Linked DNA regions of Lepisosteus oculatus. The protein of the gene in region 1 binds, or shares a complex with, the protein of each later gene. Links are inferred from orthologs where the notes say so. Each region holds a gene or a part of one and is shown on either strand. Other genes may lie near its edges. The genes, in order: kita and suppressor of cytokine signaling 6.

What was found.
Region 2: the proteins of kita (region 1) and suppressor of cytokine signaling 6 are in contact, whole or in part, in a crystal structure (PDB 2VIF), measured with the Homo sapiens proteins. The link is inferred for Lepisosteus oculatus from reciprocal best matches to the Homo sapiens genes KIT and SOCS6. Residues at the interface, in NP_000213.1 of Homo sapiens: Asn566, Asn567, Tyr568, Val569, Tyr570, Ile571, Asp572, Pro573, Thr574; in NP_004223.2 of Homo sapiens: Arg391, Glu395, Arg409, Asp410, Ser411, Ser412, Asp413, Ser419, Phe422, Thr428, Leu429, His430, Thr431, Arg432, Phe442, Tyr443, Glu444, Gln445, Val448, His460, Asp464, Ala469, Phe470, Cys471, Tyr472, Ser473, Arg474, Ser475, Arg476, Thr482.

Annotation. Positions count from the first base shown.
Region 1 is NC_090696.1:78,569,475-78,579,157, forward strand, and holds the start of kita (mast/stem cell growth factor receptor kita), read left to right. Parts: upstream 1-5,897; 5' UTR 5,898-5,991; coding exon 5,992-6,055; intron 6,056-9,683. UniProt on the Homo sapiens protein: Tyrosine-protein kinase that acts as a cell-surface receptor for the cytokine KITLG/SCF and plays an essential role in the regulation of cell survival and proliferation, hematopoiesis, stem cell maintenance, gametogenesis, mast cell development, migration and function, and in melanogenesis.
Region 2 is NC_090701.1:53,943,519-53,952,117, reverse strand, and holds the start of suppressor of cytokine signaling 6, read right to left. Parts: upstream 4,148-8,599; 5' UTR 3,762-4,147; intron 3,348-3,761; exon of another isoform or gene 3,227-3,347; intron 2,874-3,226; exon of another isoform or gene 1-2,873. UniProt on the Homo sapiens protein: SOCS family proteins form part of a classical negative feedback system that regulates cytokine signal transduction.

The DNA.
Region 1 (9,683 bases):
GACCTCATTGTAATACAGGTGCAGCAGTGTTTTGAATCCTTCACACAAGAAAGGATCCTTTGCAAACTCACTTGTACCAAAGACTGTTAGCAGAACAATCACCAGTCACTCAGTACAGGGGAAGTACCTATGGCTTAGAAAATTGCTAAGATTTTTAAAACCCCAATATAATTGTGGGAATTACAATTTCTTACCATGGTACTCTAGAATAAAACTGGTGTTTTCTTAAATAACCAAAAGGGTTACTATTTAGCAAATCAAGGTGTTTTCTCACTGAAGCATCCATCCATGAAAAAGACAAACAATTCAAAATTATATTCTATTGAATTGGATACCCTGGCTTCTTTTAGAAAATGTATAGATGATGTTCTCAGATTAATTAGCTACTAGCAACCAAACTAGCTTGGCCAAATGACCTCTTTTCATTTAAAACTGTCATTATTCCTAAGAATTAAAAATGCTATTTTGTGAAATGTAGTGACCTTCAACTTTTCCTTTTCTTTTTCATTTAAAGCATATGTAATTTCATGTTTCTTTTTTTCCTCAAAACGAATAGAAGAAAATGAATAGTAATCTTCCTCATATCTCTCCATCTTTCTGGACAGATGCTGGTGCAGAAATGAAGGCTGTGGGGTTCTTCTCAGCCTGTCTGCTTTCGGGTGTGGTTGTGAGGTTTTAGTTACACCACAACTTGTGCCCTACAAAAATAGCCAAAGACTACAGGAGTCACGTGATAGGTTTAAGACAATAGAAACTCTTTATAAGCTTAAATTTGTGGAATATATTGGACTCTTGTCATGTGAAAGGCAAAGACAGAGACAACAACCCAGTACAAAAATACAGTTTGGTAGTACCCTCAAGCCATGTGCTGGACTACGAAAAGCTGGTGTAAAACAGCACAATCGAATCTTTGTGTGGGCACTGTGGTTTGAATGTTAATTTTATTTTGAAAAAAGCCCTAGGCGTTCTCTTTTAGCTGGTAATTTCTGAAAAATTGAAATGATTTAATATCATTATTTAACATTTAGCCTTAAATGAAAGTTACGCTAAAGTAGAATACAGATCTAAAACAAAATGTGTTTTACAGTTGTATAACCCACACTTAAAACAATATGTGTTTTAAATGATGTGCTGGGATTTAAAACAAACTTTATATTCAAGTGTGATATAATAAATCTCAATATTTTGAGTAATTGTGTTTAGAGGCTATGAATTGTGGGATATATTCATATTAATTGGCAGTCATTACTTATGAAGTATTAAAAATCTCTTTAAATGGTGCTGCCATTTGTGAAACAGTGGTAGCTGATTAATAGTCATATCCCCATAAACCACAGATGACAGATGAAACAGCTCTTGGAGCTTCTATACATTAGATATCAAACAGGGAACCTGGGGACATGGAAGAGAAAGAACAAGGCATAAAATTGCATATTAACTCACTCAGCAGGTTAATGATCACTGTGTCAGACTGTGTTTACTGAAGTGTTAAGCAACAAGTAATCATAAGGTTCTCAAATGTAACCTGTACTTAACATGTGGTAAGAAAATAAGTGCCCTCAAATGCACTGTGGGCTTTCCTGAGACAATTAACACCCGGGAGGGCTGTGGAAGGAGGGCAGGGGCACTTGACCGCAGACCAGAAGGTGCCAAGAGGAGACCAAGGAAAGCTACAGCTGCTCCCCTTCAGCCCTGAAATCACTGGAGACCTTAAATCATCCAAAGCCTGCAAAACGTTAAAAATGATTGACTGTGAAGTTGTCTGAATTTCTTTGCAATCAAAGACGTTAGACATTTTCTTACTGTTCTCTGAGATTTTTGTCTCACTCTGTTGTTTGGTGTTATGAACTAAAATTTTGATCTTTATTTGTATTTTTGTTGTATGTTGCTCATTAAAGAAATTGTGTATGGATACAATGAACAAATATATACATATAATGTAAAGATACATTATCTAACAATGTCTATGTCAACTAAAAACAGGAATAGTTCCTTGGTATAGTTTCCTGAAGTGCTTCAAGACAGGAGGACAGGCATCAAAGAGATTATTAACAAGTACAGGAGGCAAGTTCCCCCACAGAGACATGTGAGCAGTGGACGAGTCTGGGGGAAGAGGCAAGAGGAGCCTATTGGATCATCACTCCACTGGCAGAAAAATGGAAAAGAAATGTTCCCTCTCATTTCTTAAGCTTTTTTCTGCGTGGCAAGTTTTTGCAGCCTTATTAACAAAAACATCATGAGTCTTTGACTTCTGAGTGTGTACTTTAGCTGGTTTTGTCTTGTGTATCAGATCCTGTTTTTTAATGCTACGAAATTATTTGGGTCTTGTGTAGACTATGTCATTCACAGATGCCTCTAGACTCTGCCTCCATAATGATAAAACAACATGACTGAACACATTAACACATCGCAGCCAAATTCAGGATGAAATCCCCCACACCACTGTGAGATTCCACATGTTGCAATCAATGCACCACTTCTGGTCTCACAACCGCATTCCACTGGTGCTTCCTTACCACTCTAACACACTTTCTATCCCCAGGACCATTATTAACAACTACTCCATTTTACAGGGTTATCCCTTCATCGATACCCTTTTTTCTGACCGCCCAATCATCTCATACGGCCTGTCACGGGAGCCGGTCTTGACTCCCGTGTAGTGCGTATTTAGAACCCTGTGCAGACGGTATAATCTGGAAGTGACTGGAAAAGAGCAATGGGGAAGACTCAGAGAAGAATGGATGGGAGGACTGACAGGGGGTGGTTCTGAACAAGTCCATTGGGAGTCCAAAAGGGAAATACAGTCCAGGCAGCTGGGAGATCAATCCAAGATGAAGACAGGAAAAAAGGAATCCAGGAACATGGAAAATAAAACCATAACGAAGCAAGGCGCTCCGAGACCCAGACTCAGATGGTCAGGACGCCTGGGGAAAAGGCCTTGCCCTCGGGCTTCTCCTGAGCATGGTGGATAGTCGGGCCTTCAGACATTCCTCTTCCAGTACTGAACCTAGAATTTAGGAGGCACATGACTTTTATAGTGACGGATAAAACAGGAGACAGGAGCACGCAATCATGGAACTAATACTAAAAGGTCGGAGCGCCCTCCAGAGGAGGGATGATGACCGTGACACCGCCGACCACCCAATCTACGTAAACATCTGGTTCTCAGCTCCCTTGAGCGCACCTTCGGCACCTTCCCCAGTAATAGAACTTGCTACATCACCGGCAAATACACACGTTCATTCAGGGCCCCTCAGGTCAATTCCGAATCACCCAGACAACATCCTGTTCCTCCAGCAACCTCACTTACTGTATGTCCTGCAAAAAATGCCCAGCTATCTATGTTGGAGAAACCGGAAAGTAGGAGACCGCTTCAGCGAACATGTTCAGGCTGTGAAGATTAAAGATTTCTCCAAGCCCATAGTTTCTCATTTCACTTCAGACGGCCATGATCACACTGATCTCACTGTCTCTGTTCTCAAAGAAGGGTTTCTCAATTCTCATAGAAGAAAGACAACAGAAACAAAACTCAACCTGAAACTAGGTTCACACCTTCCCCCTTCTCTCAATGACCAACTTATTTTTGTGTAATCTTCTCTATTCTCATGCAGGTTTTGACTTCACACCTTTCTTCACCTTTCTACACTTTGCACTTCCTGAGTGGCCTTTCTGCCTCTCTATCCCTCCCGCCTCCTCCCCTCTCTCAGTTTTTGTTCTTCGTGCTATTTAATCTTTGCTGTCTGCCCTGTCTTTCTCACACCTGAAGAAGGCTTTACAGCCAAAATGTTGTGTTTTCTCTCTTATTTTTTCAGCATGGAATACTACTTGTTTCAATACACCCTAATATTAAGTAAACCCTGCAGCCTTGACAGATATGTGTCACCAAAACACTACAAGGAACTTGGGCAAAAGGATGGTATCTCATGGGAGTATGTGAAGAATATCTGTCTCCCCTTGGGTATCCCCAAAACCACTCAGAACAACCGGTCAACACTTCCAAAATTCCTCACTGTGAAATGGCAAATTTATGATGGAAGATACAACAGATTTCTTTTAAAATGTAGGCCTGACATTTATATTATGTTTGGCTTTGGCCATTGGCAATGGCAGCTACTGTATACACTATAGATACTGGGATACTGCATGGATGGATGCAAACATGAACGTCAGTAGGCATGCCTGTGTCCTTGTTGTTGCTACGCATGCTGATGCAGCCTCCTACTTGAACTACTTCATAAAATGTTGTTGCTTTTGTGAATGGAAGCACATTTTATGAGGAAGAAATAATAAATGTTGAAGAACTCTGACCTTTATCCTCATTATTATTCTGATTCTCTTAAAAAAGATGTTTTACCCTTTGCATTTTCACTAACAACATTGGTTTTCTATACTAACTTGAAGGAGCCTAACCCACTACATACACATGAAAACACAGCTGTTCAGCACAGAAACACAAATATCCACAGAGTTAATGACATACCAATAGACCTCAGTGTCCCCCACCCAGCAGTTCAAAATCCCACAATCCACTGAAACAAAACAAATATACACGGCCAATGAATTGACTATATAGAACATTATATATATATACAGTACAATTATAGTAGAGTTAAAAACCATAGTTTTTATCTTTTTAAATTGTGTGCGACATGTATTGATCACACTTGATCTTCTTAATAAGTGTGTAAAATAACTGACAACATATGCTTATACCCTTGGGAACTAATTGTATTTTACATATTTATGTTGAAAAGAAGACAGATTAGCTCCTGGACACAGATTCCTGGATCACTGTTCAAAGTCATAAAACCTGCTTATGTCTCAGCCCCCAGAGAGACACTTGGTGGGCAAATGTCATCATGTCTGCCCTGATGTCAAATCCTTTTATACAGTTGTACTAAAGAAGGATATCTGCTACAGCTGTTGGCAGAATTTTGTACATCATTAAAAATTCATCTGCACAGAAATAAGAGGAACGTGAATTCCAAATCAGCAGACACTGTGTTCACTGAGAATTTGACATACTGTGAAAAGAGGCTTTAGAAGCACCGAGTTCTTGGAGTTGTTTGCAACCACTACTATGAAGGTAACTTATTTTTTAACAAAATATTGTCATATTTAAAGTGCATTTTACCCCGAGGTAGACACTGAGCTCTGCAGACAGTTTCATATTTGTTCCAGTCAAGCACCTTGGCAGCCACCACCTCTGGTGTGAAAGACCAGTCAAAAACAAACAAAAAAAGGAACTGAAAGACAGGAATTTGGTCACAAAGTTCATTTTCTGACACTATAAGCATCTTTAATAATTTCACTACTTAAGATGATCAAAGCATTACAAACCACAGAAAATTGTCATACTGATTATAAAATTATACTGCAGATATTAGAGATGAATGATTCAATGCAAAGATATCATATCCTTGAGATCTGCAAATGTTGACTTCAAAGCCCAATCATTATGTGAGGTGTCACTTATACACTGTAACTAAACAAAGTCCACATAAAATATGTATTTTATACGAGGTCAACTAGAATAACAAAATCCCTGCTTGTGGGACACTTCCGTTGTGCCCAGTGTTTCAGGGTACAGAAAAACTGACTAGTTTGCTTTCGAGGTGACAGTAAGAAACTAGTGTATTAAAATACACGAATTTAGCATTAAAAATAAACTTTGGCAGCTGAGGTTTATTTTGTTAATGTTTTATTGATATATTTACAAGTTCGTTTAATTTTTTTGCAGTACTGTAACTTAGTCTTGTAAAACAATTTAATTATCCAATTAAGCCAATCATATTACGTTTAAAGGAACTTTCTTCTTTCTTCCTTCCTGCGGTGGTGTCTTGGAGACAGACTGAAGGGCTGCTGGTAGGAAGTGTTCTGCGCCTTTAAGACTTGAATAGGTGGAACGAAGCAGGCTGTAGTGTTAAGTGCTGCGCAACTCAGGCGACAAAGCAGATCTATAGCAGAGAGGTGGACAAACAGATAAATGGAATGTTAACAATGGGATATACCTGGGTTTCGTTGTTTACCTTGATGCTGTTATGGTTTGAAAAAGGTAGGGTTCTTCACCGGTGAAAGCAGGCTGAAGTCGCTAATGCGTGTTGTAGGAATTTGATGATTTATCAGTGATGCTTGAACGGAGCAGGATTTCACTTTAAGAAATCTAAGTTTAATTACATTAAACTAAACTTAAACTAAAGTTTTTTTTAAGAGGATGAAGTTACTTTAATTGGGGATGTCAAAATCTTGTTTGTGTATCTCAAATGGTTAGTGTATAATTTAACTTTAAATTGTTTCGATTCTCTGCACCTAACATAGGAAAGCACTTTCTCATTTTAAATTTATGTGAACTGGATTAATAACATCTATCAGCACAGGACTCTATAAAATATTAGTTTTAACCCCTAAAGTTACATTATTCTTTCATGCATATAATATAGTGAATTATTTATGATATCGGTGAAAAAAAACTACAGTTCATTAATGTAACAGTTGTTTGCTAGTTGTGGAAAAAATGTTACATGTATTTAGACTTTTGCTCTTTTATTTAATATTTACAAAAAGTTATAAAGAGATACATTACAACAGAGCACCTGTAATATGAATGTCGTACTCCACGACACCACTGGCTTACGTAGCAGGATAAGCGCATCGGCAGGGGTGCTGGCGCTGAATTCGACTAACAGCTTAATTCGTTAATAATTTAAAACATTTATTGTACAACAAATTACATATCACTAAAATGCTGTGTGTTCTCCATTCTCCTCTTCGTAAATGATCTATTTAACCACTTTTTACATGAAGAAATCGATTCCTTCTTTTCTGTCGTTACAATACAAAAGTACATTTGCATGCTTGCTGCACAACATACCATGTTATTAAAAGGCGCTTCGGAGCAGACTGACTTTGTTGTTAGGTACGACAGGTAACGTGGAGGTGGAGCATCAAGGAGCGGCCGTATTTGTTTTAAGGGTGCTTTAAAAACTGCCTGGACACGGATGTAGGTAGTGTTTCATTTCGGCAGTGAATGGATCACGCCTTACACAAGACAAACTTCCAGCGCTTGCAACTCGTATGATAGTAACGTACGTTCATTATAAAAGCAACAAAGCTTTTGCTAAATTAAAGTTGCAACCGTAGCCCCTTTGAGGAAAACGGTTTGGAAACGTGATACTAGTAGTACGAGTAGTCAGAGCGCTTTGGCTGGACAGTGAAGCGGTAATTTGAGCAAATCTAAATGAATATACCATAGCCTGATGTAAAGGAGCAGACGTATTTCTTTTCTCTTGAAGACAGGGATTGTTGTTACATTCGTGGAGACAGTTAAAGCTCAGTGTCCAAGCTGTATCAGTCTGGTCATCAAGGACTTCACGGAAGAGGACAGGACTGCGTGAATTTATGTATGCTTCTGTTTTCGCTCACAAGCTAAATCCCCAAAGTGTTTTTCTCTGCAGTAATAACAGGCTTCCCATTTAAACAAGTATCTAATTAGTCTGTATTGGAGAAACACCGTCTTATCCCACAGCCTAATGCTACAAATCTGACTTTTTGCGAGGCTATAATCTTGCATTAGTAGTTTTAAAGCAGTTAAGCCATCCAGCCCTTGTATCAAAAAATGACAAAGAGTGTGTTCTTATGTGCTTTTGACTGCACAATCTTTTTCTCTTTGGATCTTTAAACAGTTGCAAACTCGGTGAGGAAAGGCGGAAGGTGTGTGACTGGAGGAGCAAGCAAAACAAACCTAGTCTGCGGAATTTACAACTCTGTACATGTTTACATGTACAAAATTGTAATGTAATTGTCATGCAATACATGATTTGAATATAGTCTTTTGTCTTGTCCTTGCAAGTCCGATGGTCACGATTGTTCATTGTGGACTTTTTATTAGCCCTCCGATTTAGAGGGTACGCAGGGTAAACCTTAGAGCTAAAATTAGGCATTTAGAATCTGTCCATCAGTCTGTTTTCTACACTGCTTTATCCAGGACGTTGTTGTGGGGGAGATGGAGCCTATCTCAACAAGCAAAGGGTGCAAGGCAGGATACACCCTGGATACACCCAGTCTATCGCAGGCCACACACACACAGACACACTCACACCAAGGCCAGTCTTCCCAGAAGCCAGTTAACTCACCAGTATGTCTTTGGACTATGGGAGGAAATCCACACAAACAAGTGGAGAATGATATGCACGCTCTAGATCGCACCTCTGGTCCTGAATTGAACCCAGGACCCCAGTGCTGCGAGGCAGCGATGCTGACCACTGTAGCACAGTGCTGCTCTACATTTGGAAATTAATCTATTATTTGAAAGTGAAAATAACATAAATCTGTTTGCCTTGAAATTATTCCACTATTTATCCCTCACAGTTGCGTGCAGGCTGAGTATCCTGTCAGGCTGTCTGTTGTCTGTCTTTATAACATTCAGTACATAATTAACTTGAATCCAGGATTTTGCAGAACAAAGAAATCAATGACCTTTCATTTACAGCTTCAGTCAGTAGCTTCCATATGTGTATAGTATTTACAGATGTTGAAATAATTTGTACATGTTTTCATGGGGCAGTCAAGGACATTAACTTTCTTATTTTAAAGCCACACAATTGCAGCTTTAGCCTTGTGCTTTGGTTCTCTAGTATATCTTGCGGAAAAGTAATTTTTGTCTGCGTTTTAGATCCGAGTAGGTTTTTCTCTAAGATTTGCCAGTATTTTGCTCTGTCTATGTTCTCATCAGCTTTCTTCTTTTGATGAGAAGCAGAAGAATAACATGGTGCTGCCACCATGCTTGGCGACAGGGGTGGGTTTGACTGAGTGATAATCGATGTTGTATTTGTGTCAGATATAACACTTGGCATGTAGATCAAAAGGGTCCAGTTTTTTCTTGTCTGATCACAAAGCCTTTCGCTAAATGATTGCATATCACTTAAGGCTTTTGTTGCAAAGCCCATGAGGAGATTTTAGATGTTCTCTTTTGTTCCATACAAGCCTCATTGTGGAGTGAACTCTGTAACTCTGTAAGTCACCATTGAGCTCCCTTTGGCATCCCTCACCAGTTTCCTCCTTGCCTAGCTGCTCTGTTTGGAGGGACAGGCTGATCTATGGAGTGTCTGGCTGCCCTCGACTCCTTACTGATTGACTTCACCATGCTCAAAGAGACATTAACGGTCTTTGTTTTCATATTCTGCTCCTCGTCTGCGCCTTTATGCAGCTTTATCCTTGACTTGTTTTGAAACCCCATTGGTCTTCATGGTTAAATTGTTGCTTGAAATCCACTATCTTCCCGAGAGACCTTACAAAGATACTGTAGTTGTATTTATATTTAAACCATCTAAACCACCTTTATTGCACACAGACCACTCTACTAATTATGTTTCTAATAGGTAATTTTGTGAACCTAAATTAATTTTTCTGAGCGTTCTGGCGCACTATGGCTGCCGTCGCATCATCCAGGTGGGGCTGCACATTAGTGGTGGTGGAGGGGAGTCCCCATTACCTGTAAAGCGCTTTGAGTGGAGTGTCCAGAAAAGTGCTATATAAGTGTAAGCAATTATTATTATTATTATTATTATTATTATTATAATAATTGTAATGACTTCCATTTTTCATTGAACAATGTATTGTTTTTGCTTTGAGTGTTGAAGTAGGTTGTAGATACAGTATAACAAATGTTTGCTGCTTTAAAGTGC
Region 2 (8,599 bases), on another chromosome or scaffold:
AAAACCACAACACATTTCGTAAGGCCCAGAAACTACATTCCTGTCTATACAAATGTCACTGTATACCACAGGACACTGTCTCTGTGTGTACTGCACCTACTGTTGATGACTTTTAAAAATGGGACTTTCTGTCATCAGTAGCCATATTAAATATTCCAAACACAGCACTGTAATGTAAGCCAGAAGAGATGTGAACACAACATCTCCACTGGACAGCTTAGTCTGAAACACGACCCTTGCAAAAGCTGGCTTATCACTCCTGGAGGGCTATGTTTGTTTTTGTCCACCGCTTAAGTGCTTTAGAGTAATGGGCTGGTAAAGTAATGGTCTTGTATCTGTTTCTCAGTGTGAGGATGAAGCACCTGGAAGACAGCTACATCATAAAGGCCTTCTGAAGGGAGAACCCTGGTGTCTACTTATACAATACACCTGCAATGAAGAAGTACCCAATACACCAATTATGTCAGCAACACACATCCCTTCCATTTAACAGGATAAAAATCAGCATCCAGTCAAAATATTTTTTCTGTCCATTTATGAAAACATACTCTACTTAAAATGCAACGCGTTTCAGCAAAAGAACACTGGCCACACACAAATAACCTTCCTTGGTGTACATATGGTTTGTCCCAGAGCTGTAAGTCTCTATGTTTCTCAACATACCAGAAAAGGAACTACATCACATGAGTAAAAGCCTGCAAAAAATGAGTCCTTCCCCTCAGCACAGTTGCAAAACACCTTAAATGTAAATATGAAGACTGACTGTGAGGTTGACAGATGCAGGCAGCTACAAATCATGAGCCATGAGGAGATGCATGTGCTAATAATTTAACACACTTAGGTTGAGAGGAAACCAAACTTACCCAACCCCTGCTCCACCCATTTGCCCAAGTAAAAAATTAATTAAATCTCCATGTTAATTCTGCCGCACGTCTAATGAACCACACCTCCGCAGAAACAATACTTATGTAGCCAGCATCTACAGCTGACGTATTTCAGATGTGACCAAAGTCTCACAGCCAGCACTGAAACCAATAACTGCTTCCCCTGAACTGTAAAATCATTTGGTGTAATAAACCCTCAGCAGCTTGGGTGTATACAGCAACAAAGTCTAACTCGAAGGAAATACACTGGATAGGAAAACCAAATCCAGGTCTGTCCCTAAAATGTTAAAAAAAATCCTGATAACAGAGCTACCACCATGAGAGTAATATGAAAAGTTTGCTGCTGTCCGAGAAAACTGTGGCGCTTGCAAAACTGAGCAGCTGACCAACACTTTTGAAATTTATTTCAGAAATCCGATCATTCACCTCAAACCTGAAGTGAAACTGGGAGCATTCAGGATCTCAGCAGTTCTATTTCTCCATATGCCACAACATGTTAATAAAAAATGGTGTTTTACTTCTGGTTTTAAAGTGTTTACAGATGTCCCGCAGAGTGTTTTGCACAACCATATATCCGACAGATTAATCTTAAAACAATCAATTTGCAATTTTTAGTCCAAACTTGCTGTTTTACAGAAAGAGAAGCAAACTCTACTGAAGGGCAAAACAGGAAAAGGGTAATACCGTTCATAGTACACAAAAACGTGGACAACAAAATATAGTAATCTAGGAATACGTCTCAGTGCGTCCCAACGCTAGGATACCTAGCATTCATTGTAACACGATCTTGATTATTTTTAACAAACCTTTATCTGAACTGCTTGCTTTTTGACTTTTCTGCCGGGGTTTTAGTTTTAGGGAAAGAAAGAAAAAGCAAGCAAGCATGGGGGCACTCCGGGATTGGGGATTGGGAAGCAGTGCTCGGACGCAGGGGATCTCAATCCCGATCCTGGAGGTCAGGACACCTGCCGGTTTTCATTCCAGCTGAGATCATTACCTAACTGAAGCTTTAAAAGAATTAACGATTTCACCGTTAGTAAGAAGGCAACCCCAAATGTGTAAGAACCGAAAGTGATCAAACAGTTTAAACCGATCTGTTATTAAAGCAATTTAGCATTCACTGTGTAACGGAGCATGGCTGGAACAAAAACCAGGTGTGTGGACCTCCACCATCAGGATTGGGAACACCTGCTCTAACGCGCACAGAAAACCAACCACAGGGCTCTTTCATTCTAAAAGCCACTGAGATGTTAAAACCAATAGTGTGTGGAAAACACAAATTCTTCACTTGAAGTAAAAGAGCCTTACTAAATCTGTGGGATATTCTTTAATCAGTATAAACAAATCAATTAAACACACACCTTAAGTTATCACTGTGCTGACCAACAAACTTCCAACTTGCAAAGTAATCAAAATTAGATAAAACCAAGGTTATGCTCCACACTCTTCTTACTCTGCATACTTAAGTCAGCATTTTTCCCTGCTTCAGCATGAACAGATTTAATAAACAAGAGTGAGTTGATTTACCCTGTTTTAACCACTTCTCATGTGATAATTCAAAGCGTGTGCAAGCCTGAATTTAAAAGTGCAGTGAATCATTTAATACAATTTTACTAGAGCGGGTTTTCACCGTTTATTAAAATTAGTTAAATAAATGTAATTCCTGGTATAAAAGAGATTAAGCTGCAAAATCCTGTCCCTTTTTTGGTTTGTTACTTGACACCAGGAAATAAATCACTTGCTTCGGACGCTGGCTAATTTAAAACATGACTCTGAACACAAGTGGCGTTTAGTATTTTAAGTGGAAATGAGCCTGATGTTACATGACGACAAGATAATAAAACACACCGATCTTTAAAAAAAAACATGCCAGTAATCAGCTACAGCAGTCTGGGATGGCGCATTATTATTAAATTTTACTTTTATGTGATCGAGAGATTACCGAATTATAAAAAAGTAACGATTATAAAAAAAAGAATAGGAGAAAAAAAGAGAGCTTCACAACTTTAAAAGTATGGCGACTTGGCAGAGCCGAATGCATAGAGTATACAGATCACTAGGCCCATACTTTATTAAAAGGGCTCAGTTTATTCTTAAACACCCGACTATTAAAAAAATATTTTATTAAAAATAAATGGTGTTTCTCTAACTTAATTTCCTATCGTTGTTTATCTACGCCTTTGGTAAAAGTTATCCATCACATGTCAAACACAGAGGTCTGTACAAAACAGCTTGGCAGCTCACAGCAGATTCCTGGTAACCGTGTAAGCGATCACATTTAAACGTACAAGCTTTGCAAGGAGTAATATTACCAGCCGGGAAGGAATAACCTGAACACTAACCCCCAAGTTCTCCGCAGGTCGGGCCCACGGACCGGTGGAGCCCGGGGCTCGATTTCGAGTCGAAGGCGAGCTGGAAGACAGGGGCTCGCAGAGGGATCCTCCGATCAGACCCGCCAGTGGCCTTGAAAACAAAATCAATACCCGCTGAAGTGGACGGACACACGTAAGGGATGCGATATGGTCTCGGTCTCTGTTTTTGTTTGGATTTTCGGAAGATGAAGCACCTTACACGGACAAACCCAAGTTTTGGCTCAACACCCACAGGCCGCAACAAAGGATCCCCTGCCAGCTGCCTTCACGTACCGTCTCCGAGCAAGTCAAGCATGAAACGCGAGTAGAAAACTAAACTTGTCTGCGATTAACGTCTGGCTTTCTAAAAAAAAAAAACCCCAAAACGGCACTTGCATTTCTTTGTTTATCCCGGGTTTCCACCGGGAGAATCACCCACGGCCACCACAAAACTCACTCAACTCACAGAAACGCAGCATTTCTTTCAATCTAGGATTTTTTTTTTACTCTTCTTTCTGATACTTACCCAGCTTTCCCCCTTCCGGATTCCCACTTTCCCCACAGGCCGCGTTCTGAATAAAACCTCCCGAAGGTTTAAATCACATTTAAATCACATTTCCTAGTCACCTTCATTCCCTCCCCTCCCCTCCGCACCTCAGTGCTGTTCTGAACACACGGAGTGGATCACAAACTAAACACACAAAACCGGCCGCCCGAGATTCCTGCTGCGCTTGGACGAGAACATTAAAATGATCTTTTTCTGTCCGAGTATGACTACAGTGGTCATTCCTAGCCCAGAGCCCTTTCTGCTTCAGTTCTCTAGGGCTTTGTCAATCATGTCTAAACTTTTTTTCCCCTTCTCTTTCCGTCGCTCGCTTCCTCTGCCTTTGTTGCCTGTTGCATTGTGGGAGAGGAGGGCCCTGGGCTGGAGCGAGTGTTTACTCAAGCAGAACCGTGGCGTGGAGAGCACGCAGGTGCAGTGAGCCGTGCGCGCAGCGTGGAAAGGCGCTTTGACAAAATAGACAAATAGAATACATATATATACGCACACAGGCATAAACTGCATCACATCTGGAAAAAGCAGGCAGTGTGAAGTGTTTCATTCTGCTTAATTGTATGTTACGATAATGTTACACTAAGACCTTAAATGTCTTTAAAAAATACCTCACTGTAGGCCTTGTTGGTGAGTACAAAACAGGGCAGCAGTACAAAACAAAAACCTGAAGTTTCACACCTTCTGTTCCATCCATTTTCTGACTTTTTTCAATTTAATACTGGGCCACAGCCTAACCCAGCAAGCAACGGGCGCAAGGCAGGGTACACCCTGGATAAGTCAGCAGTCCATTGTAGGGCACACACACAAGCCAATTAACTGACGAGTATGTATTGAGACGGAAACCCACAAGAACAGAGGGAGAACATACAAACTCCACACTGACAGCACCTCAGGTCCAGAACTGAACCCAGGGCTCGTGTGCTGCAATGCTGACTTCTGTTCTTCTGTTCCATGTTTGTAAATGCAATGATCTTTCCTGCCCAATTGATAGTTTGCTATAGGCAAAATATTCAAATGTAGACATAAATCTTCTTTTAACGGTTGATCTTAAATCTAAATAATAAAGTTTCACATCCCCTTCTAATAAAATGGATATTTCAAGATTACACATGGCACAATTTATTGAATTGTTTTAAAAAAGAGGTTTTTAATGGTAAATTTAGTTATTTAATGATAGAATAACAAATGTTATTACAATGAGTGTTATCTATACCCCCCACTCTATTATTTGTTTGAACTTTAAAATATATTGCTTTAAAAAGCTGAAACTAATGTATTATTCAACAGAATACATAAAAGTATGTTCCCATAATGCCACATATTGAATACCCACAAAGTATACTTAAATGGTGAATCATGTAATTACTGTACGTTTAAGGCACCAATTCTATTTCTTACATATCTAACCTGAAAAGTGATTCATGCAAGGAATACAGAAAAATCAAACTGAATTTGCTCGTTAAGAGAGACTAATGTAAAAAACAGAAAAACAGACAATAGAATTCTAGTTGCATCTGATTATCTTTCCATACATTGGAGAGGCTGTGATAATGGGGACTTTCCCAAAACAATTTTGGGTAGAATAAGTGGGATGTGTAAAAAGTAACTGAAGGTAATATAATTTCCCTGAGTGTTACTTCAGATTCATCTGTTAACATGAATAGACTAGCATATTCACATTCCAGACACAGAAGGTACATATGCAAAGTCTGGTCATAATTACCAAAGAAAAATAAGGAATATTCACCGTTCTGTAACACCCTCTCTTGTTTTTGTCTTTCTCATCACACTTTAATCACAGTGTGTTTACTAATTAGCCCAAAATAGTGAACAAGCCACTAATGTAATATTAGTAACTTGAATGAAGAATACCAACCATATAAATAACATATGCATTGTACTTTCAAACATCCATACTTGGAATGCTTACAAATGTGCTGCCTTGGCTTGGAGGAAATCACAAAGAAAGGATCTTCCTCTGTTAAGCAGCGAGACCAACCTGAAGCTCTGACTTGCACCCTGTGACACTGCTGGCAGCTGGCCAGACACAACATTGCAGTTGTGCAGCCTGGCTGCCTCCCTTGGGACTCTCAGGCCCATTCAAGTCAGCAGGACGGCAGCTGAAGTGTACCAGCTCCCGAGTTCGAACCCTCCTGGCACGGGCCTCTTCAGATGAGCCACCTAGAAATACACATTTTCTCAATGAGACAGATTAGGAACCTATCCAGAAGAAAGAAACTGTGTGACAGAAGTCCCTTTAAATATGAATAACAGTTGTGGGGGACTGGGCGTATGCACTATGAAGACATCCATCCATTCATTTTCTAACTACTTATTCTATCTCGGGAAGCAACGGGCACAGAGCAGGATACACCCTGGATGGGATGCCACACAGAGACAAATGTGCACACACTCACACCAGGGCCAGTTTTCCCAGAAACCAATTAACCTACCAGTATGTTTTTGGATTGCGGAGCACCCAGAGAAAACCCACAACAACAGGAGGAGACCATGCAAACTCCACGCAGATAGCACCACAGGTCTGGAGTTGAACCCAGGGCCCCAGCACTTCAAGGCAGCTATGCTAACAACTACACCCTTGTGCCACCCCTGTGAAAACATATATTTTCAATACTCATGTGTGGCAAAACAGATCTGAATTGGTTCCGATAATAACGGTCGGAAACAATACAGAAAACAAGGAATGGTTACCACAGTCACACCGAAAGTTAGCATTAAGTAGGTTAAGCATTAAGTGGTGCAATTACTCCATTACTCATTTTAAAAATGTTAAATTTATTTGACAATAAATGGTTTCTTTCCACAGTCCAAAGACATACTGGTAGGTTACTTGGCCTCTAGGTTATTTGGTCCATGGTGTGAGTGCGTGCATGCCTGTGTGTGCCCTGCAATGAACTAGCATCTCATCCAGGGTGTATGCTGCCTTGCGCCCATTGCTTGCTAGGTAAATCTCAAGCCTCCCCATCAATTGCTTTAGATAAAGAGGTTAGAAAATTGATGCACGTCTGCAATTGATTATCAGTGAACTCAAGGTGTCAAACTATCGGTTGATTCTTAAAGATAGAAATCTGAAATAGTGTGAACAGCCTGCTGATTTTAGGAAAGCTGTGCTGGAGATAAATCAGAGTAAACCCAATGTTCTTCTGTACAGTGTGGATTTAAGGAGGCTTCAGAGCTCCAGAGTGAACGTTAGGAAAAAAACTCCCAACATAAAATGAAGCAGATGAGAGCCAGTCTTCCAATTCCTAAAGATCTGGGGAAAGAAACATGACAGAGCCACAGCAATCAGCGTATTACTGAAGAAGTCAAAGGAGATGCAAGCACAGGGGTGATTATAGAGATTTTCCGCAAAAGGTGAAACTTAAAATCAGTTGATCTCTCGTGGAAAAAAAGGAAAAAGATAATGGCCAACTTCCCAGGTAATTTAATAACAAACTTTAGCAGAGATTATATTTCAATCCATTAAGAAAGCTAAACCTGTGAACAATGAAAGGTCTTTTTAAAATCACAAAATACAGTATAAAGCTGGTAAAACCAAAATAATACAGTTAAATATGTGGAGTTGGTGTGATACCAATGATTAAATGAGAATTAAACCTCTAATGTATTAAATCAGATTAAGGAATTTAAATGCTGGGATTTTAAAATAAGCAAGATTTAAGAGGTGGCACCAAAAAGAGTGAGGAGGAATTTAAATATGGAACTAAAGAACCCTGTTCATTGACAAGACATGTGGTGTACTGTTACAATGTCAAGCATGCTTTTGGCAAGGACAGAAATGATAGGAAATCAAACAGAATATAATAAGTGAGAAACAGAGACCAGTACTTTACTATCTATCCTATTTTTATACAAAGGAATGTAAGGCTAAAATGCTATCTTCAATGATAAACTATTGCTATTATATCATGTCATTAATAAGTACTGAGTGCAGAAATATTTAATAAAGTAGTAATAATAAATGCCAATCTTCACCAGTGCAAGTGCACACGATTATTAATTGTAAAGGATAAAGCTCTAGGTGTTAGAAAATGTTTAGAAGTCGTTTTTGAATCACGGTGCTTGTGAAAATTATGAAAATTATCAACATTTAAAGGAAACAATAATTTTATGAGGCACAAACTTCTAGACTACAGCCCTTTTATTTAATACCTTTTTAATATTTGTGTACTAAAACACTGTAAAACTGCATCAGATTTTCGCCTCTTAATCACTAATCTAATAATTAATCTAATCTACAGTCAATTAACCTGTTTGGGGTATGATACTTTAAGAAACGACATAGGTAATGTTAACGCTTGCATTCCCTTTAGGCTGTTCTGATTATTTTCTGAATATATGACACAACAAAACTCCATGACAGCTTGTGTGTCTTTGAGGTTGCACACACAAAGATTATATGTGAGAATGTAAAAAACACAAGGGTTTGCCAGTTTTAATCGCAATACACCACAATTTCATTGACAGAGGGAATGTTGCTGGCAGGAGCATCACAATTTAAATTTGCTTTACAGATTGAACAGAAGAGCAGCCTTGTGATCCTTCTGCGTCCTTGTTTTCAAGATAATATAGATTCATTAAGTAGGGGCGCATGACCTGAATGTATTATGTGACCCACATCACAAATGCCTTTCAAGACTAATTTTCTATCTTGTACAGACGATGAAATGATATGAAAGTCAAATAGAATAAATGGAAATTTATCCCCTCCAATTTTTAACTTAGATTTATCCAAGATTCTGTTTCAAAAGTATTTTGATTCTGTGCATATTCCAGTACATATTTGA